7 linked regions of the Ovis aries genome follow. The protein of the gene in region 4 interacts with the protein of the main gene of each other region in a pairwise test. Links are inferred from orthologs where the notes say so. Each region holds a gene or a part of one and is shown on either strand. Other genes may lie near its edges. The genes, in order: GSE1, PDE4DIP, ZNF451, CDC5L, WWC1, KALRN and KANSL1.

Region 1 (2,935 bases), on a different chromosome or scaffold from region 4:
TGGTTCCTGCTGGAGACCAGCAGCGCCTCGCTGGCCTGGGGAGCCGGGGAGGGCCCGGGGGAGAGGGAAGGAGGAACCATGGCTTTCTACCTCACTCCGGTGCAACTCAAGAATGAAGTGCTCGCGTAGGCGCCAGTGGTAAGCTCTTTTTACTTTTCTTCTTCTTTAATTTTTAAAAACACTTCAATAATGTCCTGACCAGCAGCAGTACAAACACTAAAAGCAAGGGTTGTTTTTTTTTTTTTTTGCCCAGAAAAACAAAACAAAAAACCCCCAAACAAGAAAACAAACAACAAAAAATCCCCCCAAACCACATATTAAAAATGGCAGGCTTTTTATAACAATAATTAAAGTAATAAAAACATACAAAACTTTGTTTTTTAATATATATACACAGTACAAGGCTGAAGCACCTTTGACTTTTCTCTCAAAATTGACATTTGTATGAAAACACCCCCGCCCCCCCTGCAGTAACAATCGGGTGGGTGTGGATAAATGTACATAGAGCTCTGGACATTTTCCCCCACGAAGGAATAACAAGGTACCTTCAGTCTGTCGATTCACTTTAGGTAAGAGCTTTTCTGGGGAAAAGCCTTTGGGTGAGGCTTCAGTACTGTTGCTTTGTGTGCTCCTAGGACCTGTTGCTTTCAGGAAAACTTTGCAGAAAAATAACTGAAACAAATAAGCCCTTTACTTAGAATGCACCCCACCTTCCTTCTGCTGGAGCGGGTCTCCATCCTGGGGAGGAGCGAGACCGGCCACCCCACGGCCAGAGCAGCCCGGGTTCCTGAGGCCACAGGGCCTGGCAGCACACGACACGCACACCGGTGGCCCGCTCCGCCTCATGCACCCAGGGGCTGGGAGATGGGCACAGCTTAGTGTTGGTAATGGAGCCTTCATCTTGAGACTAAAGCATGACGACGTGGGGAAGGGAAAAACCGCCTTTAAAAGGGAAGAAACTATGGGCGTCTTAAACGGGTTGCTTGCTGAGTTACAAAGGTGATCCAACTGCACTGAAGTCAAGGCGAGTTCGTTCTTTTTTTCTGGAGCCTGGAATCCTTTGCTTCATGCATGGCACATTCTCTCTTTTTTTTTTTTTTTTTTTTAAGCGTCAAACCTCCCAGTGAAAAATATTAAATATTCAAGGTAATAAAATAGATAATATTTCTATACTATAGGTTCGGCCTAGTGCAAGGGAAACCGTCACCTCGGGAAACCCTTGAAGTAGCCTCTAGGCCAATGCATTGCAGGCAACGCAAGGCACTTCCGTAAGTGGTCCAGTTCCGCCTGGAGCCGCTCCCGTTCTGAAACGATCTTCTGCTTCTGGCTCCTCAGCTCCTGGAGGGAGACTGGTGTCAGACCCGCAGTTCACACAGTTAGGAAGGCTGTGGGATGCGCTCTAGCTGCCCCCAGCATCTCCCAGTGGCAGCACCTGCCACTCTCGCAGCGTCGGCCCTGGCACTGCCAAGCTTCTGCTGCGTCGGGAGTGGCCAAGGTGTCCAAGCCCCAAACACACAACAGCGGAAGATGGCAGGGCTCTCGCTGTCACGGCTGTGTGTGTGTGTGGGGTCCGTCCTGTCCCAAGAGCTCGGCCCCCTCCCTCCATCCTCCTGAGCGCGGCACGGGGGAAGGCTGATACGGGCAGTACACCCGCCCCCGACCCTTCCAGACCCATGTTCTGCGAACAGATGACACTCCCTCCTCAGGTGACTGCTGAATTTAGCCCCTCTCAAGAGCACAACTTCCCTTCAAAACTTGTCTGTATGGGTGCTCCTGAACCCAGACTCGAAAGGCTGAATGAGAATAACCACTGTGGGGTCAAGAAAGCCCCCACGGAGCCAGTACGATCCCTGAGACTCACCGCCATGCTGTGGGAGAGCTGCTCGGCCGTGAGGCTGAGACTGTAATGCTGCGCCTCCAGCCGCCTGCACTGCGCCTGCAGCACCTGCCGCTCCAGATCTTGCTCTGAAAAGACAAGCCAGGGTGACGTCTTCTGTACCCAGGGCCCCAGGCCCGGCGCGTGGCCTCTTCTCTCCAGAGCAGCTGGTCAAAGCTCTATCATTTGGACCACATGGCTCCCTCCCTATAGATCGTGCTGGTGACTAGATGTTACTAAAGTAACCCGACCCAGGGGAATAAAGACCGAGGACACAGCATTGAAAGGCAATTTAAGGGACGCAGCTTAGGAAACAGCAACAACTTACAGCCTTAAGATGCATTTTTCAAGAAAGATAAAAGGCTTAGACACAAAAACTGTTAGAAATTTATCATTTTAACAAGTAAAACCTCTGCCTTTCCGAAAGATACTGAGCTTCACATCTTCAGGAATAAATCTGTTTTAACAGTCTCTTCAATAAGTGGTGCTGAGGAAACTAGACAACTGTATATAAAAGAATGAAACAGAGCACTAACGCCACACACAAAGGCACATTCAAAATGGATAAAGACCTAAATGTAAGGCTGGTTATTATAAAAAGCCCTTAGAGAAAAACAGAGGCAGAAGAATCTTTGACATAAATTGCAACAAGCTCTTTTTTGATCCACCTCCTAAAATACTGAAAACAAAAACAAACGGTGGGACCGAATTAAAGGCTTTTGCATGGCAAAGGAAACCATAAAACAAGAAGACAACCCATAGTATAGGAGAAAGTATTTATAAAAGATGCAACCAATAAGGAATTTAATCTCCAAGATATACAAACAGCTCATGTAGCTCAATATTTTTAAAAACCAACCTAATCAAAAAATGGGTGCAGATCCCCCCCGCTTATTTTTCTTAATCTTGGGTTCCCTGACTAGGGATTGAACCCACACTTTCCTCACTGGAAAGTGGATTCTTAACCACTGGACCACCACTTCACCATCTGGGTGAACATCTAGATAGATATTTTTCCAAAGAAGACATACAGATGGCTGAAGAGATGCTCAACATCAC
Region 2 (3,500 bases), on a different chromosome or scaffold from region 4:
GGTTGGGAAGATCCCCTGGAGAAGGAAAAGGCTACCCTTTCTAGTATTCTGGCCTAGAAAATTCCATGGACTGTATAGTCCATGGGGTCTCAAAGAGTTGAACATGACTGAGCAACTTTCACTGACTCACTCAAAGCTCATTTGATCTTCTCATTAATAAATAGACTTTAGTTTAGTTTTTTTTTTTTTTTCTGGTGGTTCAGATGGTAAAGAATCTGCCTGCAATGCAGGAGACTGGGTTTGATCCCTGGGTTGGGAAGATCCTCTTGAGAAGGGAATGGCAACCCGCTCCAGTATTCTTGCCTGGAGAATTCCATGGACAGAGGAGCCTGGCAGGCTGCAGTCCATGAGGTCACAGAGTCAGATACAACTGAGCAACTATCACACACACAGTATTTTTTCTAAAATAATCAGTTGGATAGAACTTTTTTTTTAAAGTTCACACTGAAATTGTTTTTTAAACAGGTAGCATGTTGAAAACTAATTGTAGAAATTCAAACTCACACTCAGCCTCATTTTGGGCATGAGTTCTCCAAACTTTCTGTCCCCCTCTGTCCTGTGTCCCCTTCAGCCTACTGCACCCCTCAGCCCTGCTCCTCATCAGATGTGGGATTGGCCAGCAGTACCCAAATGTGAAGGCTGCCCTTAGTGGGGGAGGGCCAGCCCCACACCCAAGCTCTCACCAGGGCTGGTGCTCTCCTCCCGCTCAGCCTCGTTCTCACTTCGGCCACAGGTCTCATAGCCCAGGTCCTGGAGGTCCACCTGCACCTGCTTGCTGTCCTGCTTCACTGATGATCCACCTGCTTGGGAACAGACAGGGCGTGCTACAGAGGATCTAAATTTCCCACATACACTCTCATCCTCAGCAGCACGCACCCTGGCCCTTGGGGAGGTCAGACCCAGAGTGGGATAGATGCTTCTTTGGACTGAGGTGGGAGAAGAAACACCTGCTCCAGGCAGCAGGACCTCTCTCAACCAGGTGAGCTTGTTCCCCATTGGTGAGCTTACCTACAGATAACCTGGGCTTCCCTGGGACCAGACATGTTTAAGTCAGACACTGCATACTATCAACTCTACACGCCCCAGGGAAATTAGCAAATGCTTTGTTCATGGGGGCTCAGGAAATGTTTGAATGGAGCAGAACTAACTCAGTTTCAAAGACACCAAGATCTGCACTGTTCTGTAAGTGTTATAAACGTGACTGTTTTATGTTAAACTGATAAAAATTAAATAAAACTTTAAATCCCCAAATTGAATTAGCTACATTTCATGTTCTCCATAACCACATGTGACGTAGATACAGAACATTTATGTCACTGCAGAAGTTCTACGAGAAAGCACTGATTCTAGACCAACAACAATGGTACATTTTTGAAGAGTCTACTGTGGTGCAAAGAGGAGCAGAAGAGAAACAATCAACATATGTTGAGAGCGGTAAGGCGGTCTGTTGACTGTACCAGAAATCAGTGAAGCTAGACGTTAGCTCATTCCCTCCCTATGCTGTCACTGCAAACTTGCTTTATTCATTCATTTGTTTCTGCCATCTGCAGATTGAAGTTGAGTATCCACTTCCATGGGCTTCCCTGGTGGCTCAGTGAAGAATCCACCTGCCAAAGGAGATGTGGATTCGAGCCCTGGGTCAGGGAGATCCCCTGGAGAAGGAAATGGCAACACACTCCAGTATCCTTGCCTGGGAAATCCCAAGCACAGAAAAGCCTGGCAGGCTACAATCCATGGGGTTGTAAAAGAGTTGGACACGATTTAGCGACTAGGTAACAACAACAATCCACTTCCACAATGCTAAGGTCATAGTCAGGATTAAATTGGCCATGAGACTGGGAAAGAAGAGTGAAGTCTGCAAAGCATGAGCTTCTCAGGGAGAAGACAGGTGGTGGTGAACTTAAGACTTACTAAACATGACTCTGTATTTCTCCAGCTGGTTGGCCTGGGCAAAGACAGTGGCTTCTGATATCAGCAGCTTCTCCTGGAGATCCTGATAGCGTTGTTTGCATTGTGCCAACTGGGAGCGCAGGTGCTTCGTGGATCCCGAGAGGCGAAATTCTGACTGTGGCCCAGGGTCATGGGTCTGGGGCTGGTTATCCAGCTGTGAAAAGAGCCAGCACAGAGTCAGGGCCATCTGAGCTCCTCCCCAGGCAGTGGCAGCCACTTCGCCTTGCGAACTCTGTGTACTTCATCCGTGTGTCTGTCGTAACACTCCTCATTCCACTTGGCAGCTACTTGCTTTCCAGACTGAGCACCTGGAGAGCTGGGGTGATGTTTTATTTATCTCTGTTGCTACAGCACACAGCACAGTGCCACCTGAGTCTGTGAGGAACCCTCAGCAAATGTTTGTTCGTGGTTGAAAAGAGAAGGGGTGGAAACCTCCACTCATCTCTCCCTGCATTCCTACCCAGTTGTTCTCTCGGTCCTCTTCTATCCATTTTACTTAATCCCCAGCAGGCAATGGCACCCCACTCCAGTACTCCTGCCGGGAAAATCCCATGGGCAGAGGAGCCTGGTAGGCTGCAGTCCATGGGGTCATGAAGAGTAGGACAGGACTGAGCCGACTTCACTTTCACTTTTCACTTTCATGCACTGGAGAAGGAAATGGCAACCCAGTCTAGTGTTCTTGCCTGGAGGATCCCAGGGACGGGGGAGCCTGGTGGGCTGCCGTCTCTGGGGTCGCAAAGAGTTGGACACAACTGAAGCGACTTAGCAGCAGCAGCAGTAGCAGCTCAGCCCCCTCCCCTTAGAGAATCCTGACAGTTCCTCTGAGGCTCAGGAGCAGACCCCTGTGCTGAGCTGTGAAGTACACAGCAGTGATAGGTAAGAGATGTCATTACACACCACTGACTGGCTGCCTTAAAGCCCCGTGTAGCTCTATATTGCATCCTATGGAAATGATCTGGTTTTGTGCCATCTTTTCCCACCATGCTGAATATCTGAAGGGCAGAGATGAAGTCTTATTGGCTGTTTCCAGTGCCTAGTGTCTTGCCTGGAAAATTAAGCATTCAAATATTTATGAAAGTTAATTACTCATGTAATATTCATGAGATAATATTGTAGAAGAAACCTTTCTAAAGGCTGGATGTTAGAGGAACATTATTACCACTACTTGTGGTGCAAAGGTGCCCTTCCTATGGTACCTCCTGACCCACGGGGCAGAACAGTTTAAGGTAAAAACGGACATTGCCAGCCTTTATCCAAGGGCTTTTCATCTAACCCCACACTTACTTGGTGAGCATCCACTGTGAGGGCAGCCCCAAGGTCAAGGCTCCGGGGTCTGGGGCACGGCCTTGTGGTCACACCCTCCCCTTCTAGGCATTGGCGCTTTCCAGGAGAGTGAGCCAGCTCTGTGTTCATTCTGTTGATCTCCTGGGCCAGGTGCACAAGGAGCTCAGGATTAAGCTTACTAGTCCCTTCCTTGCTGCTCAGCACCAGCTGTTCTTTGAGGAGGCTGATGATATTACGGGCATTCTTCAGTTTTCCCTGGACCTTTC
Region 3 (3,500 bases), about 15 Mb from region 4:
GATGTTTTTAAGGATCGGGGAAGGGATGATAAAAGAATGGAAGAAAAAGTGGTTAAAAAAAGTTACCAACACAGGGAATTCTACTCAATACTCAGTAATGCCCTATATGGGAAAAGAATCTAAAAAAGAGGGTTTACAGGTATATGCATAACTGACTCACTTGGCTGTACACCTGAAAACTAACACAACATTATAAATCAACTATATGCCAATAAAAATTTTAATTAAAAATTTTTTTTTAAAGAAAGAAAAGGAAAAAAAAAGCCACAAACAGAAAAAGCAAGTGAATGAAAACAAAAACTACAGAATAGGAAGATAACATTCAGTACTACAATATGACATAAATAAGCAAAATAGAGTCGACTTTCCTTTAAAGAGCACGAGCGTGCCAGCAGCTCAGTGGTTCCTAACTTTGAATTTATCCACTGCAATGAGTGACCAGAGCAAAGTTCTTCAGAACAGATCTTCAATCAAAATGTGGCTCTACATATATGAAATGAAGAAATTAGCAAAGAGGAGGGCATACTTGGGAAATGTAAAGGTAAATAATAAACATTCCAAGAAGTAGTCAGTTTCTCATTGAAGTCATTCATCAATATCTTTAAACTCTTTTCATGGCTGCAACTTATTAGGATATTTAAAAACTATTCTTTTATTCTCTCCTACCCACATTTACTTCAGAAATTAAAAAAACAAAAACAAAACCATCTGGGTCCCTAGAATTATACCCTTTCCTAAATATTGGTTAGTTAAACTGGCCACCAGCATGCCCATTCACTGAACAATCTCAGAAAGGCAGAGAGAGTGCAGGACAGGGGCTCCTAGTCCTTCAAGGTAATAAAAATCACTCAGGGCTTCGTTCTGTCACTGTCAACCTCCTAAATGCCTTTTTTTTTGGGGGGGGGGGGTGGTATTGCCATATTTACTGCTTTCTGGTTTCTTCTATAAGCACTTTGCTTTCTGAAAAACTGAAGATAAATCTAGAATTTCCAAAACAAAATGAAGATCCAGATTCTGAGCTTTACAAGACTCTAATAGCATATTTCAAACCATTAAATACACGAATATAAATTTTATCCTTCAGACGAAAAAGGGCTCCAGAAAATCACGAATTCATCCTCCTTCTAATACACTCAAAATGAAAGCAGATAAGGAATGAAACACAACAAGCATGAGCGCGGGGCAGTTTAGTAAGCAGGCGCAGGGCGAGAGTGGGCAGCAGTTTATTGGCTTCTCTCAGCAGTGAAGTCTCCTCCTTTTGGGCGGTTTGCCCCGAGGCTGCAGCTGCATACCTTTGGTGGTGTCAGATATGCTATTTAACAAGGCACACATCATATCTCCCTCTAAGTGGTGAGGGTTGAGTATATGTGCTGGCCTCTGAGTCTTCTTAAACTGATTCTCTAGCTCCAGAAAACCTTGATCTCCTGAGAGGATGGTGAAAGGAATCTGCTTGGGCAGCTGTTCATCTAGACGGCCAGCCTAAGTTGGAACAAATGACACACGTCAAATCAGCATCTGTGCTTCCAATCAAGTTACAGCTGTTTCAGAATGAACGCCTACCTAGAAAGGTGTATTTCGCATGTCCCCTTGCTCCCACTAAAGTATGATATAAAGATCTCATTCATAAATAAAATATATTAATACCATATTTTAAAAATGTAAAGTGCTGTCAATTTTAAGATAAACTGTTTAATGTGCCACTAAGAGAGAAAGAAAAAAAGAGGAGGCCCCCATATAAAGGTGGAACAGTAGTAACAGGGCTAAAGTAAGCAAAGTCACAGTAAAGCAAGCAAGCTCAACCTTAAAACTGGCTAGATGGAAAAAGAAATTATCTTGTGGTTTAAAATATAAGCAGCAATCAACAAGTCTACAGAGTAAATTCATGTTATCAGTGTGACACAGAAAAGCTTAAGCAGAAAATTTAATTTAAACTGGGTCTCAAGTGGGTCGTTTCTCCAGGCAACTAGCTGAGACAGAAGCAAATGCAGATTTCACCTGGGCCAACAGTGACTGTCACAGGGCCTGCTCATTTCAGAGATGTTAAATGTGGAAGCGCCTCATGCGTCAGAGAGTGACACCGCCTGATCATCTATTCTACACACAGTTACGGTTCTACCATGCACAGCCGAGAGCTGGCTAGACTGGGGATGAAGCAGTAAACACGTGCTACACGTTCCTGCTCCCAACAGTCTTAAGTAGAACTTGATGCAAAAGGTTTTATACCAAAGACACAGCACTAGAAAGGAATCTACAGTGTCATTACGATTTAAGTGGGAAAATTCATCAAAGGGGTCCTAGAGTCACAGAAGATTCTGAATAAAGCAATGACTCACATGCATACATATGGCAAAGTCGGCAGCATCTTTTCTCTTGCTGCAGCGAGGATGCAGGAAGAAGCAGCCGATGCGGTTCAGGTAGTTGTAGACCTTACAGTGGGCCGGGGGCTTCCAGTTGGTGTTTCCCCCTGTCGTGTTTAGAACAATAAACAACACTGTTGTTTACAACAGGCACAAACGAGGAGTCAAACAAAAGAAGCCAGAACAGAAGAACAGATATATCTAAAAACTCTATAAGGAAAAACAAATACTAGGATAAAAATGTTTCTAGAAAAAAAGTACCAGAGTAGAAGGCAGAATAGGCAGTTCCAGCACAGGGTGCTGCTGAAACCTCAGGAAAGTAGACAACTGCTCCAAACCTGACTAGTAAGCAGAAGACTCACAGAGACGTTCAGCAGAACCACAGTAATGTGTGTGAAATTCTTTGGTGTCGTTCTACATGAATGTATGCATTAGTGGATTTTTTACAAGTATGTTAAGGCTGCTCGCTGAATTAAAAGAGTGGTCAATCAGGAAAGCTGGACTCACTAAAAGCCTCATCCAGGTCAGTGGGTTTCTATCTTAAATCCTAATCCTCTTCTTTGTATACGGTTTCCTATCAAACGTGGCAAATGCACCATATTCCACTGTGCTGTGCTTTAGTACTGTTTTCTTTTATTACCAACTGAAGGTCCGTGGCAACTTCGCCTTGACTGAGCTTATCAATGTCGCTGATCCAACAGCATTTGCTAACCTGCGGTCACATTTCGATGATATCCATGGTATTTCACACTTTTCCATCATTATTATATTGTTATGGTGATCACTGATGTTACCACTGTAATCGCTTGGGTGCACCACAAACCATGCCCATACAAGACAGCAAACTTAACTAATAAATGTTCTGTACATTCTGATCGCTCCGCCAACTTGCCCTTTGCTGCCTTTCTGCCCTCCTGGGCACCCTACTCCTTGAGACACAATATTGAAGGCCCATTAATAACCCCACAGTGGCCTCTAAGTGTTCTAGTGAAATGAAGGGTCTCAGTTTCTCAAATTAAACCAAAAGCTGGCAATGATTGAGCTCAGTGAGAAAGGAATACCCAAAGACTAGACAGGCTTAAAGGCAGGCCTGTAGCTAGATGACCATCATATGATGACCATTATATCTACTACCATGGGCAA
Region 4 (4,248 bases):
AACAATGGCAGGAGAGAGGGGACAGAAAATGGCTTGCCTAAGACCACTTACGAAGCAAAAGACAGCTAATTCTCACACTGAAATTCCCAACTCCCACTCCCTACTTTCTGTTACATCACAGTGCCTGCTTTTCTTTGGTAAGGTTCAAAGAAATGACATTTTCCTCATCATAATGAAGGTCATTTTGTGTTTTCCACTCATTAGCTGATACATACCATCTGGCTTTGCACTGCTTTGCTGACTTTCTATGCAGCAGTGAGGCAATCCTAGACCACTGGTTTTTCCCATATTTCATCACCGCTGCTTTCAGAATTTCATCCTAAATTTTTTCAAAGGAAAAACAATGTATTCATTCACAAAACTCCAAGTGAGAAAAGACAAGATTTAAATTAACTCTAACTGGGTTGTACTAGGGAGAAAGAGATATAAACACGCACGTATATCCTAAATTTAAAACAAAAGTATAAAACTTCATTACAATAATAAAAATTTAAAAAAAAACAGCAACCCAGAATCAACAAAATGAAAGAAATTAAGAACTCCCTTAGAAGGATATCCTACCCTCCCTTACACACAACCCCTCCCCCAATCCCATCCAAAAATTGAGTGGGTACAGCCCAATGTGAGAAACCCCACTTGACAGAGATTTTAAAAAGAATTCTCCAATGTGTGGTTGTTAGTCTCTTAAAAAGATTATGGCTCATTGATTTACTGATTCACAAAAAATACTGCCCAAACACCAGCCTTGTATCAGGTCTTGTATATCAATACTTGAGAAAACAAGATAAAACAGGACACATCCAGCCCTCAAAAAGTCAAGACTCAAGTGAATCCAATTTCCAATTGAGGCTTCCCAGTTTATGAACAGCATTTTCTCTCCAGTCCCACAGCCCCCACTCTCACCTAAGAATCCATATCTCAGGTCTAACCTAAGAATTGAGTACGTCTCCCCTAAGTCACCAATCAACTCTGCCTCTAATTTCCCCCCAGTCTCTAGATACTATTTCACCAGGGCACCCATTCCAATAAAGAATTCACCAATCCCAAGGGAGCCTGTCAGGCTAAACCAAAGACACCAGGGATATCAGAGCCATAGATGAATGCACTCAGGGCATTTTACTTTTAGGGTTTTTTCCCCACAATGAACTTGAGCTATATGCCTCATATGTTAGCCACTCCTCGCCACTCCACACCCCTAACATCTGAGACTCAAGGACTGCAGGGCTTTGGCCACAGCATCAGAATCCTGCTGTTACTTGATTTGGTACATCTGTCTCTCCCTCAGAAGTCATCTCTTCTCCAACTGAAACAGCCTGGTCCCCTCTGTGCAAGCTGAGAGGCAAGGTTCTCACTGACTTAATTTGTAACTTTGTTGCAGTACTGCTATACTTAATCACATCTTCAACTAAGTATATACTACAGTTATACACCCTACTAGATCCATTCAGCAAAATTTCCCAAGCAAACTTTGTTTGGCACTGTCCGGAGTTCTAAAGATAGCAAGATCTGATCCTGCGCACTTGCAGTGCTGTCTACTGGGGAAAAGAAACAGCAGGTAGTACTTTCTGAAAGATTACTATGTGCCAGACTCTGTTCTAAATATTCCAAATGCAGTGACTCATTTAATTCCGAGAGATAAGTATATTATTATCATCCCCATTAGAAACCTGAGTCTCTGAGAGGTTAATAATCCCAGCATCAAACAGGATGTGATGCTTGCAAAAAAAAAAAAAAAGCAAACCATAACAAATGGATGAGAAGAGGTGTCCAGGGACCATTGCAGGTGCAAATACTTTTTACCGGATGACCAGGCAAATGGATGGGTCTTCTGGACCAATTTCAGAAGAGTTTCTGAACTGTTTTTGAAGGAAGGTCAGAAAGATGCCAAGCAGTAGGAGGATATTTCAAGAAGGTGCAAGATGTAAAAAGACAGAGTGTTCTGGGGAAACTGACAAGTTCAGGGCACTATAAACAGAAACTGCACTAAAACCTTGTTTCTATTTTACTCTTCTACTGTTCTTTGGTTCACCAATGGCACGATCCACTACATTTCTGGAAGCAAAGAGACTATGGTAGGCCTATCTGGCTTCTACCCAACATGAAGCGGAAGAGACAGGCCTTGGGTGACCGGAGGGCGGACAAGTTACGCCGTGGTAACATGACCGCGGGGACGCGGACACAACCAGGTACTTAGGACCTGGCACTCAAACTGCTTCCCCTCAGCAAGGAACTCAAGGAAAGAACAAAGTTGTGGCCACAGCACCTCTTCATTTTTCAACAGCAAAGAGTCGCGGAGCCTGGGATGAGGAACGGTGGGGTGCGGGGGGCGGGGCTTAGAAGACCGACTATCGCAATTGTCCTGTGTCCCCCTCCTACTGTGAGTTCCACCACGGCGGAGGACGCGTCAGCTCAACAAATGTTCACTGAGGGCCTAACGAGTGCCCCGCAGGTAATCAAGCGGTTAAATCACGGTCCCTGTCCTTGAGATGCTCAGATAACTGAGGTCCAGGCACAGGGTAAAGGCCCCGCACCACCCCCCACGCAGACCCCGAAGGCATCCTCTCCACCTCCCGGACCTCTGCGCGCGTGCGCACCCGCAGCCGGAGGGGCGGAGGGCAGACGGCGGGAAAAGGGGACTTACCTCGGTATTCCTCCACACGCCCCCCTTAATCATAATTCGAGGCATCTTGGCGGCGGGGTGTCTCGGCAAGCGGCCGAGCGGAGCTTCCGAGAAGTAGTAACGGCGCGGCGGCCACGGGACCCAAAGCCGCCACTTCCTCCAAGCGCGACCTTCTGCTTTGAAGAGCTCTGCGCAAGCGCGGGGGCGGGGTGGGGAAAGAGCAGGAGTAGCAAGTCTCGCGAGAACTGGAGTGACTGGAAGGAAATAAGTGCCTCGATGGTAAAACTCTACTCTAGGGAGACTGACGGAAAATCATCAAACCACTCTAGCCAAGGTACTCGAAGCCGCGCGCATGCCCAAAATAGGTTGGAAGAAACCGCGGCTTTCGCGAGATGTCGGCGGAGGCTCTTGGCTGGGAATGTAGTCCTGGGATTGGTCGTGACGTCACGTTGTGGCAAAGAATAGGAACGTCACTCCTGTAGGGTTTAACCTCGGCTGGTCTAAAAATAGCGTTGATAATTTATTAACTTAGCACTTTATTAAGCATTTAACGAACAAGAATTTATTCAAAAAATATTCAGGGAGAGGCAATAGCTTATTTAAGCCTAAATTTCCTAACCTGCAAAATAGAGACAATAATAGTGCCAACTTCATAGGGTTTTCCTAAGGATTGAATAGGGGTTTCCCTGGAGGCTCAGGTGGTAAAAGAATCTGCCTGCAATTCGGGAAACCCGGCTTCGATCTCTGAATGGAAAAGATCCTCTGGAGAAGGAAATGGCCACCCACTCCAGTATTCTTGCCTGGAGAATTCCGTAGACAGAGGAGCCTGGCGGGGTATAGTCCATGGGGTCTCAGAGTGGCAGACGACTGAGCAATTGCTGCTGCTACTGCTAAGTCGCTTCAGTCGTGTCCGACTCTGTGCGACCCCATAGACGGCAGCCCGCCAGGCTCCCCCGTCACTGGGATTCTCCAGGCAAGAATACTGGAGTGAGTTGCCATTTCCTTCTCCAGTGCATGAAGGTGAAAAGTGAAAATGAAGTCGCTCAGTGGTGTACGACTCTTAGCGACCCCATGGACTGCAGCCCACCACGCTCCTCCATCCATGGGATTTTCCAGGCAAGAGTACTGGAGTGGGGTACCATTGCCTTCTCCGGACTGAGCAACTAACAAGGGTTAAATGAGATCGTAAATCCATCGTAGTATCTGATACCTAAGAAGTGCTCACAAAAATGGCAACTGTTACTACGAGAAGCGCAAGCTCAAGTGATCAGAGATTGTCCCAGAAACAGTCATGTCAGAGTTTTCCATTTATTGCACTTCAGTCTACATGGCTTAATATTAATAGCAGAGAGCTACTGTTGATAGGTGCTAGTATTAAGCAAACTTGATCGGGGTTGAAATCTTGGCTCCCTCATCAGCTTGAGTAATAATCATACTGAATCTCAGTATCCTGATTTGGAAAGTGAAGTTAACAATTTATACCTCATAAATCTGAAGGGCCCTGAAGGGCAAATTAGTTGAGGCCAAAAACCCACTGAGATAGGGATTGCCAAACTGAGATTCCAACTCACTTGGTTTCCTTCTCCATTCAAAAACATCTCTTTGGAGCTAGTCCTGGAAGGGACGAA
Region 5 (3,500 bases), on a different chromosome or scaffold from region 4:
GATACACAGTCCATCAGCTACACACTCACACTTTCTGGTCTTGCTGCAGCAACAAAGCAGAAAGGTTGCTCAGCTGGATGATGAATATTGCAAACTGCTTATTCTTCTCATCATACCTGAAATGAAAAGGGGGCATACAGAGCACCTGTTGGTAACACATTTATTTCTCTCTCCCTTAATCATCACGGACGGAGCTGCTGACGGCTCTGGGACCGTGGTGAGCTGGAGATCACTGACCCAGTGTTTGCCACCTTGCAGGGACACAGGTCCAGAGCTGTCAGTCTGATTTTTTAAAGGGAAGCCAGAGGTTGTGTAAAATTTCCTGAGAGCTAAATGTAGGCAATGAAATCCTATTTAAAAATAATCAAGACCATTCCCCATCAAGAGATGAGCAACAACAGGAAATCTAGGCTGTAGCCCCCGAGGGGTTGACTTCAGTCCAGATGAGATGATAACAAAAAAGCTGTAGTAACGATGATGACCAAACACACCAAGAGGCAGGCGGTCTCGGTCCCTGCCCGGCTGGGCCCCTGCCCAGCTCAGTGACACCGAGCAAGGTACAGTCTTCAAACCCTGTTTTTTTCTCTTTTGTGAAATAGGGAGCTGGGAGGCATAGAAAGAGACCCCCACCTTTAGTTAGGAGCCCACAGCTGTCAGTGGGGCCTGCTGGTTCTGGAGGAGGGTAAATGCTGGACACACTGCAGAAGGGGGAGGAGGGGACCCAGTGCAGACCACACCCCTCTGCCCCGCCCTCCCTGCCACTTACTTCAGGGCGATCTGAACCCGGGTGGCACCCACTGCTTCTGATTCATCACTGTCGAAAGCAGCGGCTTCCGAGACACCCAGCCTGGAAGGCAACACAGGGAAGACAGAGAGGGTCAGGCTGGTCTGCAGTGACCTGGGGCCAAAGTCATTTTCCAGAGACAGGGTTCTCTCTGGGAGGGAGCAGCATTCTCGAGGAGGAAGGTTTGGGTCTGCTGAGCCTCCCTGTGGACCCTGCCCACAAAGACTTTAGATCCCTCTCTCAAGGGGGCTGCTCTTTCCCCAGTACTTGCTCCCTGGCCACACACCCCTTGACGGCACTCGGGGAAATCAGCAGTCTCCCAGACATGAAGTATCTCTAGGCCCCCACCCTCCTGTGAGTTCCTCCCATACGCTGGAGGGGGCCCGGGACTCAGGGACCCACCTCTGCACGGAAGCCTCATACACACCACTGTCCCCGGCCACGGATTCATCTGACACAGCAGCAGAGACACAGGCCACTTTCAGGCCACACCCCTGAGCCGTATTCACAGCTGGAGGAAGAGACGGGGGGAAGAGGCGGGCTTCAGAAATCAGGATACTGTCATCCCAACAGGTACTGTGGATCCCCTGTTGTTTTAAGATGGTCCCACCAAAATCCTACTACCTCTGACCTTTACAGCAAGGTCCTGCATGTTTTGGGGTGAAGGAAAAGGTGGCAGAGGAGTCTGTGTCTAACATCTCAGACTCCACAGGCAAACCACTGGGGTTCAAATCACACACTGCTTTGTGACACTGGGATGCTGACTTATTCCCTCTAAGCCCTGCATTCCCTATCTGTAAAATGGGGATAACACCACCTACTTTGTTGGGAGGACACAAGGAGATGACATAGGCAAATCCTTAGTATAGAGACTGGGGCAGGGGAAGTGCCCTAGAAACCCATACTGCTATCCTTAGTTACTATGACTACCATTCCCATCACTATAGTGATGCCTTCCAGATCACCTCCTACACACTTGGGACAATACCACAGAGCCTGGGCCCTTGCGGGAGGACAAGAAGGGGAAGAAGGACTCAAGCACTGGCTCTCCTACTTGCCTATCCCACCGCACTCCTAAGTCAGCTCATCTCTCCTGCCCTTGACAGAGGCCCTCTGAAGTCTCTGACCCGGGACTCAGACTCAGCACACGCTGCACATTCCTTCCCTCCCCAAGTAATCGGTGCTGACAGTGTGCCAGGGCCACTGCCAAATTCAGAGCTGCCAAGATGAATAGGACAGCTCCTGACCTCCACGCAGCACAAGGAGGACAGATTCAGGGGTTCCAACCTCAGGGCCAGCACTTCTGAGCACCTGCTGTGTGCCAGGCACATGGGTGGGGGTAGGGGTGCACTGGCTGGGCTAGGGGATGGTGACCGTGAGCTTGGCAGAGGCCAAGGGGCCATCTGGGTGTGGCTTTCCCAGACTGCATCCCACATCTGCAGCCCTGGAGCCCTCCTGCCTTCAGACCCACCCCGCTCCACCCTCCACGAAACCACTTAAGGAGATTAATTTGTCTGCTGACTGAACAGTGGCACTAATCGCATAACCTGCTTAGCGTCTGAGCTCAGCCTGGCAAGGCTTCTGGAGATGGCATGAAGAAATGCTGGCCTGGGAAGTGAGCGGTCCCTGGCTCCCAAGCTGCACTGACGCTGTAGGGTGGGGGTGGGGTAGGGTGGGGGTAGGGGTAGGGGAGGGTTCACTCCCCACACCCCACTGGAGTCCCAGCATCCCTGATCCAGCTGATCACAGCCCTTAGACAGGGAGCACTGGGAACCCTTCTTGAGCCTCATTAGAGGTTCTGCCTGCACCCCCTTCTCTCCAGGGAACAATTTTCTGAAGCTTTCCACCTGCTGCAGTAGGAAGCCTGTTTTTATTTTTGTTTGAGAGGACTCGGCAAGACTGCCTTCCTGATGAGGGAGCCCCAGGGATCTCCCGGCTCTTCTAAGGAAGTGGCTGGCATGCACCCAGCAGAGCCCTTAATTAACCAGGAAATCGTGTTGCTTCTCCCTTGCTCCCAGTGGCCCTTGTATACGAAGGAACTGATATTTCTGGGTGCTGCAGCTGCCCCCGCCCCTATTCCTGGAGCTGAGAGGGGTTGAGCTTCTGGCTGGCTTCATGGGGGTCAGAGGCAGGAGACCTTTGCTGACTAGGTGGTCCTGAGCCCAGTCCTGACTCTCCTGCCTTACCGCAGTGACACTGACCTCAGACAAGTCACTTAACCTGAGTCTCACACCTTTCAGTCTGTAAGATGAGGATAAAATCAACACCCACCTCATAGTGTCGTTTTGAGGTATACATGAATCAATATGTGCAACAGTGCCTGTACTGTACACCTGAACTCAGTAAATCATCCTGCTCAGTCCTGACTTTCATACCATATGCGAGATGGGGTCAGCGAGTGTCAGGGGTATCTTAGGAATAAATACACAGAGCTGCCTCATGTCCTAAGGGGAGCGTGGTGATAAAGAGGTTGGGCACTGGGGTCAGAAAAACCCAGATTCCAGTCCCCCCTTCCCCACATGTTGGCAAGTAATAGCACCTCTCTGAGCCTCTGTCTCCCCATCTGTGAAATAGGTATAATAGAAGGAGTCTATTTCACCATATCAAGTGCATTTCCCACCACATCAATGCACCCCAATAAATACTGACCATTATAATTTATCATGTGGTTGCTGTTACAGATGAAAATTTTTCTAATAAACCTTGGCTGTCATTA
Region 6 (4,103 bases), on a different chromosome or scaffold from region 4:
TTTCCACCAGAAAGCAGGGGGTAACCCTGGCCCCAGGGACTTTGAAAATGTGTTTGAAGCTTTCTCAGTGGTTCGACTAAATAAATTTATAATCTGTCCAACCTACCAGGTGTAGAGCACTATATTCCATAAAGATTGGGGGATCAGAAAGGAGACAGTTAAGAAATATGGTCTTTTACAGGTTTAAGAATCCCCAGGCTAGAGATTGGAAGGGAGTAAGATCAGAAAGCAGAGCACAGAGGGCCACTCAGGTGGATGGTGGTCCTAGACCCTACCACAGATAGCCTGCCTCCCCTCTTACAACTTGTTACACATTGTCAGTCATTTCCAGCCTTATCTGTTGTAGATTTCACCCTTCTCTGATTTGAAGAGCACATCAAACCTAGCCCCCACCCCCACCATAAGGCTGCCCAAGAAGGAAGAAGAATACCCCCAGCAGGATTCCACAGGAGACAGTCCCCAGTCAGTTATTTACTCTGTGATTTTAGCCAGAGCTAGACAATGTAAGCCCCATGTTGTATTTTGAAAGGCCCTGGGAAAAGTAACACATTGGACCATTATAGGTCATTAACACCATTAACACTGTGTGAATTCATTTGTCAGAAATTAGCAAGCCTCCAGAAACTTGAGATCTGCTCCAAGTGCCTGGGAGGAGAACGGATAGGAACTACTGTTTGGATGGTAGAAAATGGGAAGGAGGAATGGATGCCAAAAGATAAAAGTAGGTCCAGAAAGGGAAGGTCGGAAAGCTCATACTTCAGGAGTTTTCCCCAGAACTAAGGAAAGGCAGACTTTTGTGCCAGATGAGAGACAGGAGTGGGGCCAGGTGGGGGAGTCAGGGAAGACGTCCTGGTGAATGTTTCCAGATAGGCCTTAACCCCCAGAACCTCTCTCCTAGACTATAATCTAAGGTTATAAACTCAGGTCAGGCACGTTTTTAGAATTCGTGCCTTGGTTCCTGGGCAGTGCATATGTGAGTGTAAGGGTGGGGGGAGGGGGACGGGCCAGGCGGCAGTGTATATTAGAAACCACGACTGGTTAAAAGGAACAAGGAGACAAGGCTGAGCCCTGAGAAGCAGGGTAGGATAACAGGGGCTCCTGTTTTCTCCAGGCTCTGGCATCAGCTCCTGTCCTCCACCTCTTTACTCTTCAGACCAACTAGAAAATGAACATATGGGTCGACCAACTCTTGACTTCTAAAGCCACAAGTCTCCCCAACAAAGCACCCCACCCCTTCCCCTCAGATGACCTCCAGGGCAGGGCAATGAGGTTAGGAAACAGATGGGTGTGCAGGGAGCCTCCAGAGCTAACCTGTTCCCTGACCCCACCAGTTCACGCGCTTTAACCCAATTTACAGAAAGAGGGGGTCCCCATAACTTACTGGACTCTTTGGGACAAAGATTCCAGACAAAATGGTTCCAGATATGGAAGATGGGGAGCTCTACCTACTGAGTTGGTGGAAGCCACAGGTAAAGAGGAGATGGAGAAACCCTGGTTATCAGAGAAACAGGGCCACAGGTGGTGGGAGAGGAGAGTGGTCGGCATCTGCTCTGGGAAAAGGGCTGTGCAGGCAAGGAACCTGCGACTCAGACCCAGGACTGGGTGGTGGCGGGGGCAAAGAACAACCGTGAAAGCAGGTCTGGCGGGGGAGCTCTACATACCACAGGCAAGCAAAGATTCAGTGGGTGTGTATGAGGGGGACGCTAACTCACACGTCCAGAATGAGTGATTTTTATCAAAAGCTCCTGCGTTCCCATCACTGAAGAAGAGGAGGACAAGGACGAGGTCCTAGGCGCCCACCGCCTTCCCAGCCAAGTCCGCCTCTTAAGTCTGAGACGCCCGGCTCCTCACACACATCAGGCTCCGCGGTCCACCGTCCGCCCCGCTCCTGACTGTCAGGCTGCAGCCTGCGCGACTCCCGGTCCTTCTTTGCATATCAGGGCCCGGGGCCCGTGGCCCGGAGCAGGGGTGCGGGCGCGGGGCGGCCAGAGCCAGGCTGACAGGCGCTAGGGGGAGGGGGAGCCGAGGGAGGGGCGGGGGCGCCGGGAGCGAGAGCGGCGCGCTGCAAAGTGATCCAACCTCGCCCCATCCCCGCGCTCGGGGAGAAGGCGGCCCACCGGGACCGCCTCCCGCCTCCCCACACAGACTCCCGCAAGTGGGGTGAACGCCGAGGGGCGCCAAGCTCCCAGCCCCCACCCCTCTCCAAAACGCAACCAGCACTGCCATAACAACAAGAATCTCGGCAACTCCGGCCCGGACGACGAGGGGGACAGCACCCCCCAACACGCCCGCCCCAGCAACAGTCTCGTTCCCCAAACTTGTCCGAGAAGCCGCGTCCAGGGCAGCAGCCCCCCACCCGCCCCACCCCCCCAAGCTCCCCAGCTGCCCAGCTTACCTGTCCGGAAAAAGGCGTCCACGTCCGAGTCGGCGGCTCCTCCTTCCTCCGCTGCCCCCTCCGGGGGGTTCATGACTGGGGGAGGGCGTCCACGGGCAGCCGGGGGGCGGCCAAGCCCGGGGCCGAGCGCTGCTCTGTGGGCGGCGGGCGCTGGGCTGCGGACACCGGGCTTCGAGGGCGGCCGGCCGGGGCGGCTGGGCTGGGGCAGAGGACGCCGAGGCTCCCTCAGGCGGAGGCGCACGGCGGGCTGGGGGCGCCTGCCGCGGGCTCCCCCATGGTCCCCCTTCCCCGGGGGGCGCTGGCCGCCTGCGGTCTGCCCGGGCCGGGGTCCGAGCTGCTTGGGCGCCCGCTCTCCCTCAGCAGCGGCAGCTGGCTCTCCTTCTCGCCCGTCCGCCTGTCTCTATTGTTCAGCCCTGCTCGGCTCTCCTCTTTATTTTTCCTCCTCCCTCCCACCCTCCCTGTCTCTCTACCTCCTCCCTCCCTCGCTCTATCGCCCGCACGCTCTCAGCCTCCCTCCCTCGCTCGCTCTCTGGCTCCCCCTCTGGCTCCCTCAGCCGCCGCCGCCTCGCAGCTCCTCCCCCGGCTCCCGCTCCTCAGTCGCGGCCAACAATGCCCGGGGCAGCGCCGAGCTCAACTGAAGCTTCGGCCCGGGCCGGGGTTCGCCGCGGGCCCCCGGCGGCGCGGACGCCTCCCTCCCCCCGCCTCCCCGCGCCGGCCTCTCCAAGGAGCCAAGCCCGGGCCCCGAGCTATTGTTCGCGGCTGTGCTAGGCCGGCTTCCTGAGCCCCGCAGGAAAAGCCCCGGCGAAGGAGGCGGCCGGGGAGGGGGCGGGGCCGCCGGGCGCGTCCTGGGCCGCCGGGCGCACGCCGGGCTTGCCGAGGGGGCTCGGACGCCTGAGCCCCGCGTGCTCAGCCTCGCCGCTAGCGCTGTTCCTACTCCCGCCCGGCGGCGGCCGCCTCCTCCACCCCACCCCGTTCTCAGGTGTATGAGCCGCGACCCCCCTCAAGCTGCCTGTCCCCCAAGATGGGCTGATCTGTCTCTAGAGGCTGGACTTTTCCCCGCTCCTTCTCGACAAGCTCCCTTCTGTCTCCTTGACCTCCTGAGCCTTTCGCATTTTCCTCACCAACTCTCCTTAGTTCCTCTGGTTTTTTGGTGTTTGGTTTTTTTTTTTTAAAGCTTTTCTCTTCCTTCCCCCCTCTTTTCAGCGCCCCTGTAAACACCTCTGCCTGTCTCGGTGACTCTTTGTCCAGTTCATTTCTCTCGCGATGTGCCCCTGCCTATCTTTCCCTCCGTGACCCTCTTCTGTCTCCCATTTGTCTCTGTCCTGCCTCGGTACTTGGCCAGTGTCTCAACGCTCCTCTTGGACAGCTGTCAAACTCCCTAATCCCCGAGGCCTTCTCTGTTTTGTTCTTCTGCCTCGTGTGAATGGAGAGATCCAGTTGGCCAGGAGAAAGGAGGTGTTACAGCAAGCTGAATTTCAATTAAAGTGGGGAGAGGGACAGGAGAGGAATGGGGAAGACCTCAAAAAAGAAAACAGATGCTGTATGGGGTAATTAATGCAGTGATTGTATTGTGCCAATTGGTTTTTAAGCAATAATTAAACAATAATTAGCCAGTATTCTGTTTATAGTCCTAGTGACTGCAAAGCTTACAAAACAGAGGCTCTTTAGACCTGAGTACTTAATGTGGTGTGTTGGAGGCTGTTGTTGC
Region 7 (3,500 bases), on a different chromosome or scaffold from region 4:
TCTCTGGCTCCTGATCAGCTTTTGTAGTACCTACCACTCTCCACCCCGAAAGCAGTTTGCACGACCATCCCACACACACAGTCACATTAATACTTTAATGTTTTCATTCCTCAGAATGTGCCTCCTTGAACACATATACCTGCAAGCTGCTTTGTACCCACCAAAAGGGTCTTTTATTTAGTAATCATCCTGATAATAATGGAGGTGATAATAATAGAACGCTGCTGCTGTAAATGTTTGCTGTGTCTGTGCTAGGTACATGGTGTGTTACCGCGTTCAACCTGTAACACCCGTTAAGGTGCAGGTGGTGTAGAAGATTCCCATTTTGTTGGCAGGAAAACTGAGGCTTTCCAAGGCTAAGTGAATAGCATAAGGTGAGGAGACCTGTCAGGGTTACAGTTCGGATTCCAACCCAGCGGTCTGGCCACAGAGTCAGCTGTTTTGGGTCATGCAGCACAGAGTGAGCCTGGATTGGGGCACAGCGAAGGTGACTTAGGCAGGGGCTCTGATGCCCCTTCAGAGCTTACATGAAGAAACTTCAAAGCCAACAGAATGTGCTCACTAGGCTCTGCGATCAGGTGGGAATTCATGTCGTTCTGTCTTTGCTCTTAAAAATCAGTCTTTCCCAGATGACCTTGTTCCTCCCCCCTTCATCCCCTCCCACACCCACAGGTTTTGTCTCCATAGCAGTGTAGTCTCTGCGGTAAGCCCAGGTATCCTTTAGCAGGGATCTCAGAAAAACAAAGGATTTTACAGAGACTAATTGTGATGGAAGTCTTTTCTCAGATCCAAGACTTGGTGAAACTTAAGTGATTTTTCACATGCCGCTTTCTCATGCCTGGAAAATGTAAACTTAGGCCTGAATCACTTGAAATTTTTACTTACTATCTAATGAGCATCAATTTTGTACATACCACTGTGCTGACCCTTGAGCTCTTGTTGCCAGTTTTTTTCGAAGAATCTGGATTTATTTAATAGCAGGAAGAGTGATAGGCCAGATAGTTAAGGTGAGGAGCTACAGGACCCTGGAGAGGAGTAGGGGGGAGGGGGATGGGCTGTGTGCTCATGCTTGCTGCAGAAGCTGCATGAGCCGACGGGTGCAGCAGAATCACCTCTGTGGTCTTTTTTTCTTCTTCTTGGACTCCCTGGATATTCTGATTTGATAGTTAGAAGAGATGGGGCCCTGAACCTATTTTTTCTCTTTTAAACATCATCTTGCACCTCACCGTCTGGCAGCCAGGTTTGGAAACCACTTCTCATTCTCATCACCTACCCTCCACCTCTGGTCCTAAACAGGAGAGAACATAGGTTAGACCGAGTCAGTGTCTCCTGGAATTGGGCCATCTGCATGTGGGGTGGGGGTTGGGGCTGTTGAACCCCACAGCCCACTCCTGTCTCCCTGCCTTGAAGTTGCTGACAGCAGGCCCAAGGAGATTCAGGGAAAATACATACCTGCTGCTGCCAGCAGTTCCACACTTGTTCTTGACCACAGTCCAGGGAAAGCTGTCTATTGAGGGTCCTTTGGGTTCTGTACACTTCCTACAGTGGGGTGTGTGAGTTCAGCAGACATGTGGCAGAGGCCTGTGGTTGTGAATCCACTGAAACTCAGCCAGGCAGGGCTCACAAGTCCCTTCAGCTGTTCTGGTCAGCCAGTTACCCTGAATTCGTGAAGTCAGTGACAGTCCATTCTCATTGATAGCAGAGGAAACCGAGGTGAAAAAGACATTGTGATAACCCGAAATCACAGGTGGCAGCTGCTAAGATCCTGGCCCAGAGAATACTGCCTCTCAGCATTCTCTGAGAAGGTCTTGAAATGATCGGATGGATTGGTCATGGACCCCCTTCCAGGAACAGGAAATGGAGGGAAACAGCCTCTTCCCCCACCCCCCTTCACTGACCCCTTCCCTCTGGGCTGGCCACACTTGTTGTTTGGGTCTGAACACCCCTTACTGACCCCTCCCTCTGGGCTGGCCACTCTGGTGCTTTGGGTCTGAATGCCCCTTACTGACCCCTCCCTCTGGGCTGGCCGCACTGGTGCTTTGGGTCTGGGCTGGCCGTGCTGGTGCTTTGGGTTGAGCGCAGCCTCTGAGGTGCTGGCAGCTGTGTTGTTGCCATGGCAGCACTTTGTCATCCACTGTTTGCCTCTGGCCTCTCACAGCTCAGTTGCCAGTCTCTGTTTCAGGGCAGGGTGTTTGCTATCTGGGCACAGGCAGCCCTCAGACTTGCCCCTCCATCTAAGAAACCGTGCCCCTTGGCTCCCTGCTCAATTCCTCCTCTGGTCTCCCAGCTGCTGTTGAAGGCCCCGCCCCTGCTCCCTAATATTGGATCCTTAACTAAGTGTTCTTTCCCAGGAGTTTGATTTGAACTTCCTGTAGGAGCGAATCTCCTTTCTCCAGGAGTGTGAGCTCTACAGCCAAGGCCTCTTCATCCATTTCCCTCCATTCCTCTCCTTTGATACAGCTAGAACGCTCTCAGCTCTTTCCCTAAGAATAGTAGCCAGAAAGGGGAAATCACATAAGGGTTCAGCAGATGGTGGGCACAGATTTAGCTGGAGAGTTCAGATCTGCGAGAAGGAAGTGCTTTCATGGTAACCAAGGTTAGCAGATCCACTGAGCTCAGCCTCCCATGGGGCATCTTTCAGGATGGAAGAGTTCATCTTTTTAGTCCAGAGAGTTACCTCTAGGCTTAAGCATGCTTTTTCCACCATGGGTCTGTGTCATAGAGAGAAAAGGGGGAAACAGGAGGTTTTGGGGGGTGTTGTTAAAGATGTATGGAGGAGTCTAAACTGTGGCAGTTGTCTCAAGGCGCCAGGATACCCTCTGTGAAACTGAGTAGAGGTCTCCTTTCATGTGAGCACATGAATAAAGAGGGTGGCCAGTGAGACTTGTGAAGGGAAGGTCCTCCTCAGGCCCCACCTGCTATTTCTCCTAAGCTCATTGCTGGTGGGAGACCATCCCCACAGTGCAGGCAGTTGCTGTCATCCCTGCTTGGGTGCTCCCCAGGGACCCAGATGCCTGGTTATTGGTGATCCTGTCTTAAATCTCAGGTTTAGGATTTGATGTATGTAGAATTGTTCCTCCCTTTTAAACTTGCCTTTGTCTTACAGCAGCCAGTAAGGAGGAGAAGGGGAGAGAGCTCCTTCGATATTAACAACATTGTCATCCCAATGTCTGTCGCTGCAACCACCCGTGTAGAGAAGCTCCAGTACAAGGAAATCCTTACCCCCAGGTAGAAGCCCTGCACGACCAGCTCTGCTCTTTGGTCCCCCTGTTACTGCCATTTCCCTGTCCCTTAGTCGCTGAGTTGTGGGGCCTAGCCTTGGCTTTTGTCATTAAGAGAAGGGATCAGAGTGAAATTATTTCTATATATAATTTTCTTCATTATATGTGTGTCAGCCAGACCACAGGCCACAAACTGGCTATAGACATGTTTTGTTTGATGCATACAAATGTGTTTTAAAATACTGAATTTGTTGTCAGCATCAAAGCAAGATTCCACAT

The links.
Region 1: the proteins of CDC5L (region 4) and GSE1 interact in a two-hybrid assay, tested with the Homo sapiens proteins (2 studies listed by BioGRID and IntAct). The link is inferred for Ovis aries from reciprocal best matches to the Homo sapiens genes CDC5L and GSE1.
Region 2: the proteins of CDC5L (region 4) and PDE4DIP interact in a two-hybrid assay, tested with the Homo sapiens proteins (2 studies listed by BioGRID and IntAct). The link is inferred for Ovis aries from reciprocal best matches to the Homo sapiens genes CDC5L and PDE4DIP.
Region 3: the proteins of CDC5L (region 4) and ZNF451 interact in a two-hybrid assay, tested with the Homo sapiens proteins (2 studies listed by BioGRID and IntAct). The link is inferred for Ovis aries from reciprocal best matches to the Homo sapiens genes CDC5L and ZNF451.
Region 5: the proteins of CDC5L (region 4) and WWC1 interact in a two-hybrid assay, tested with the Homo sapiens proteins (2 studies listed by BioGRID and IntAct). The link is inferred for Ovis aries from reciprocal best matches to the Homo sapiens genes CDC5L and WWC1.
Region 6: the proteins of CDC5L (region 4) and KALRN interact in a two-hybrid assay, tested with the Homo sapiens proteins (2 studies listed by BioGRID and IntAct). The link is inferred for Ovis aries from reciprocal best matches to the Homo sapiens genes CDC5L and KALRN.
Region 7: the proteins of CDC5L (region 4) and KANSL1 interact in binary tests that used the Homo sapiens proteins (3 or more experiments, as listed by UniProt). The link is inferred for Ovis aries from reciprocal best matches to the Homo sapiens genes CDC5L and KANSL1.

What each region holds. Positions count from the first base shown.
Region 1 is NC_056067.1:11,187,734-11,190,668, reverse strand, and holds part of GSE1 (genetic suppressor element 1), read right to left. Parts: intron 1,966-2,935; coding exon 1,862-1,965; intron 1,339-1,861; coding exon 1,204-1,338; 3' UTR 1-1,203.
Region 2 is NC_056054.1:97,805,843-97,809,342, reverse strand, and holds part of PDE4DIP (myomegalin), read right to left. Parts: coding exon 3,235-3,500; intron 2,105-3,234; coding exon 1,912-2,104; intron 804-1,911; coding exon 684-803; intron 1-683. UniProt on the Homo sapiens protein: Functions as an anchor sequestering components of the cAMP-dependent pathway to Golgi and/or centrosomes.
Region 3 is NC_056073.1:3,223,477-3,226,976, forward strand, and holds part of ZNF451 (E3 SUMO-protein ligase ZNF451), read right to left. Parts: intron 2,465-3,500; coding exon 2,334-2,464; intron 1,480-2,333; coding exon 1,293-1,479; intron 1-1,292. UniProt on the Homo sapiens protein: E3 SUMO-protein ligase; has a preference for SUMO2 and SUMO3 and facilitates UBE2I/UBC9-mediated sumoylation of target proteins. Plays a role in protein SUMO2 modification in response to stress caused by DNA damage and by proteasome inhibitors (in vitro).
Region 4 is NC_056073.1:17,846,706-17,850,953, reverse strand, and holds the start of CDC5L (cell division cycle 5-like protein), read right to left. Parts: upstream 2,801-4,248; 5' UTR 2,687-2,800; coding exon 2,642-2,686; intron 320-2,641; coding exon 216-319; intron 1-215.
Region 5 is NC_056058.1:78,035,658-78,039,157, reverse strand, and holds part of WWC1 (protein KIBRA), read right to left. Parts: intron 1,296-3,500; coding exon 1,187-1,295; intron 848-1,186; coding exon 767-847; intron 117-766; coding exon 30-116; intron 1-29. UniProt on the Homo sapiens protein: Regulator of the Hippo signaling pathway, also known as the Salvador-Warts-Hippo (SWH) pathway.
Region 6 is NC_056054.1:189,285,798-189,289,900, reverse strand, and holds the start of KALRN (kalirin), read right to left. Parts: upstream 2,801-4,103; 5' UTR 2,469-2,800; coding exon 2,396-2,468; intron 1-2,395. UniProt on the Homo sapiens protein: Promotes the exchange of GDP by GTP. Activates specific Rho GTPase family members, thereby inducing various signaling mechanisms that regulate neuronal shape, growth, and plasticity, through their effects on the actin cytoskeleton.
Region 7 is NC_056064.1:45,751,585-45,755,084, reverse strand, and holds part of KANSL1 (KAT8 regulatory NSL complex subunit 1), read left to right. Parts: intron 1-3,106; coding exon 3,107-3,228; intron 3,229-3,500. UniProt on the Homo sapiens protein: Non-catalytic component of the NSL histone acetyltransferase complex, a multiprotein complex that mediates histone H4 acetylation at 'Lys-5'- and 'Lys-8' (H4K5ac and H4K8ac) at transcription start sites and promotes transcription initiation.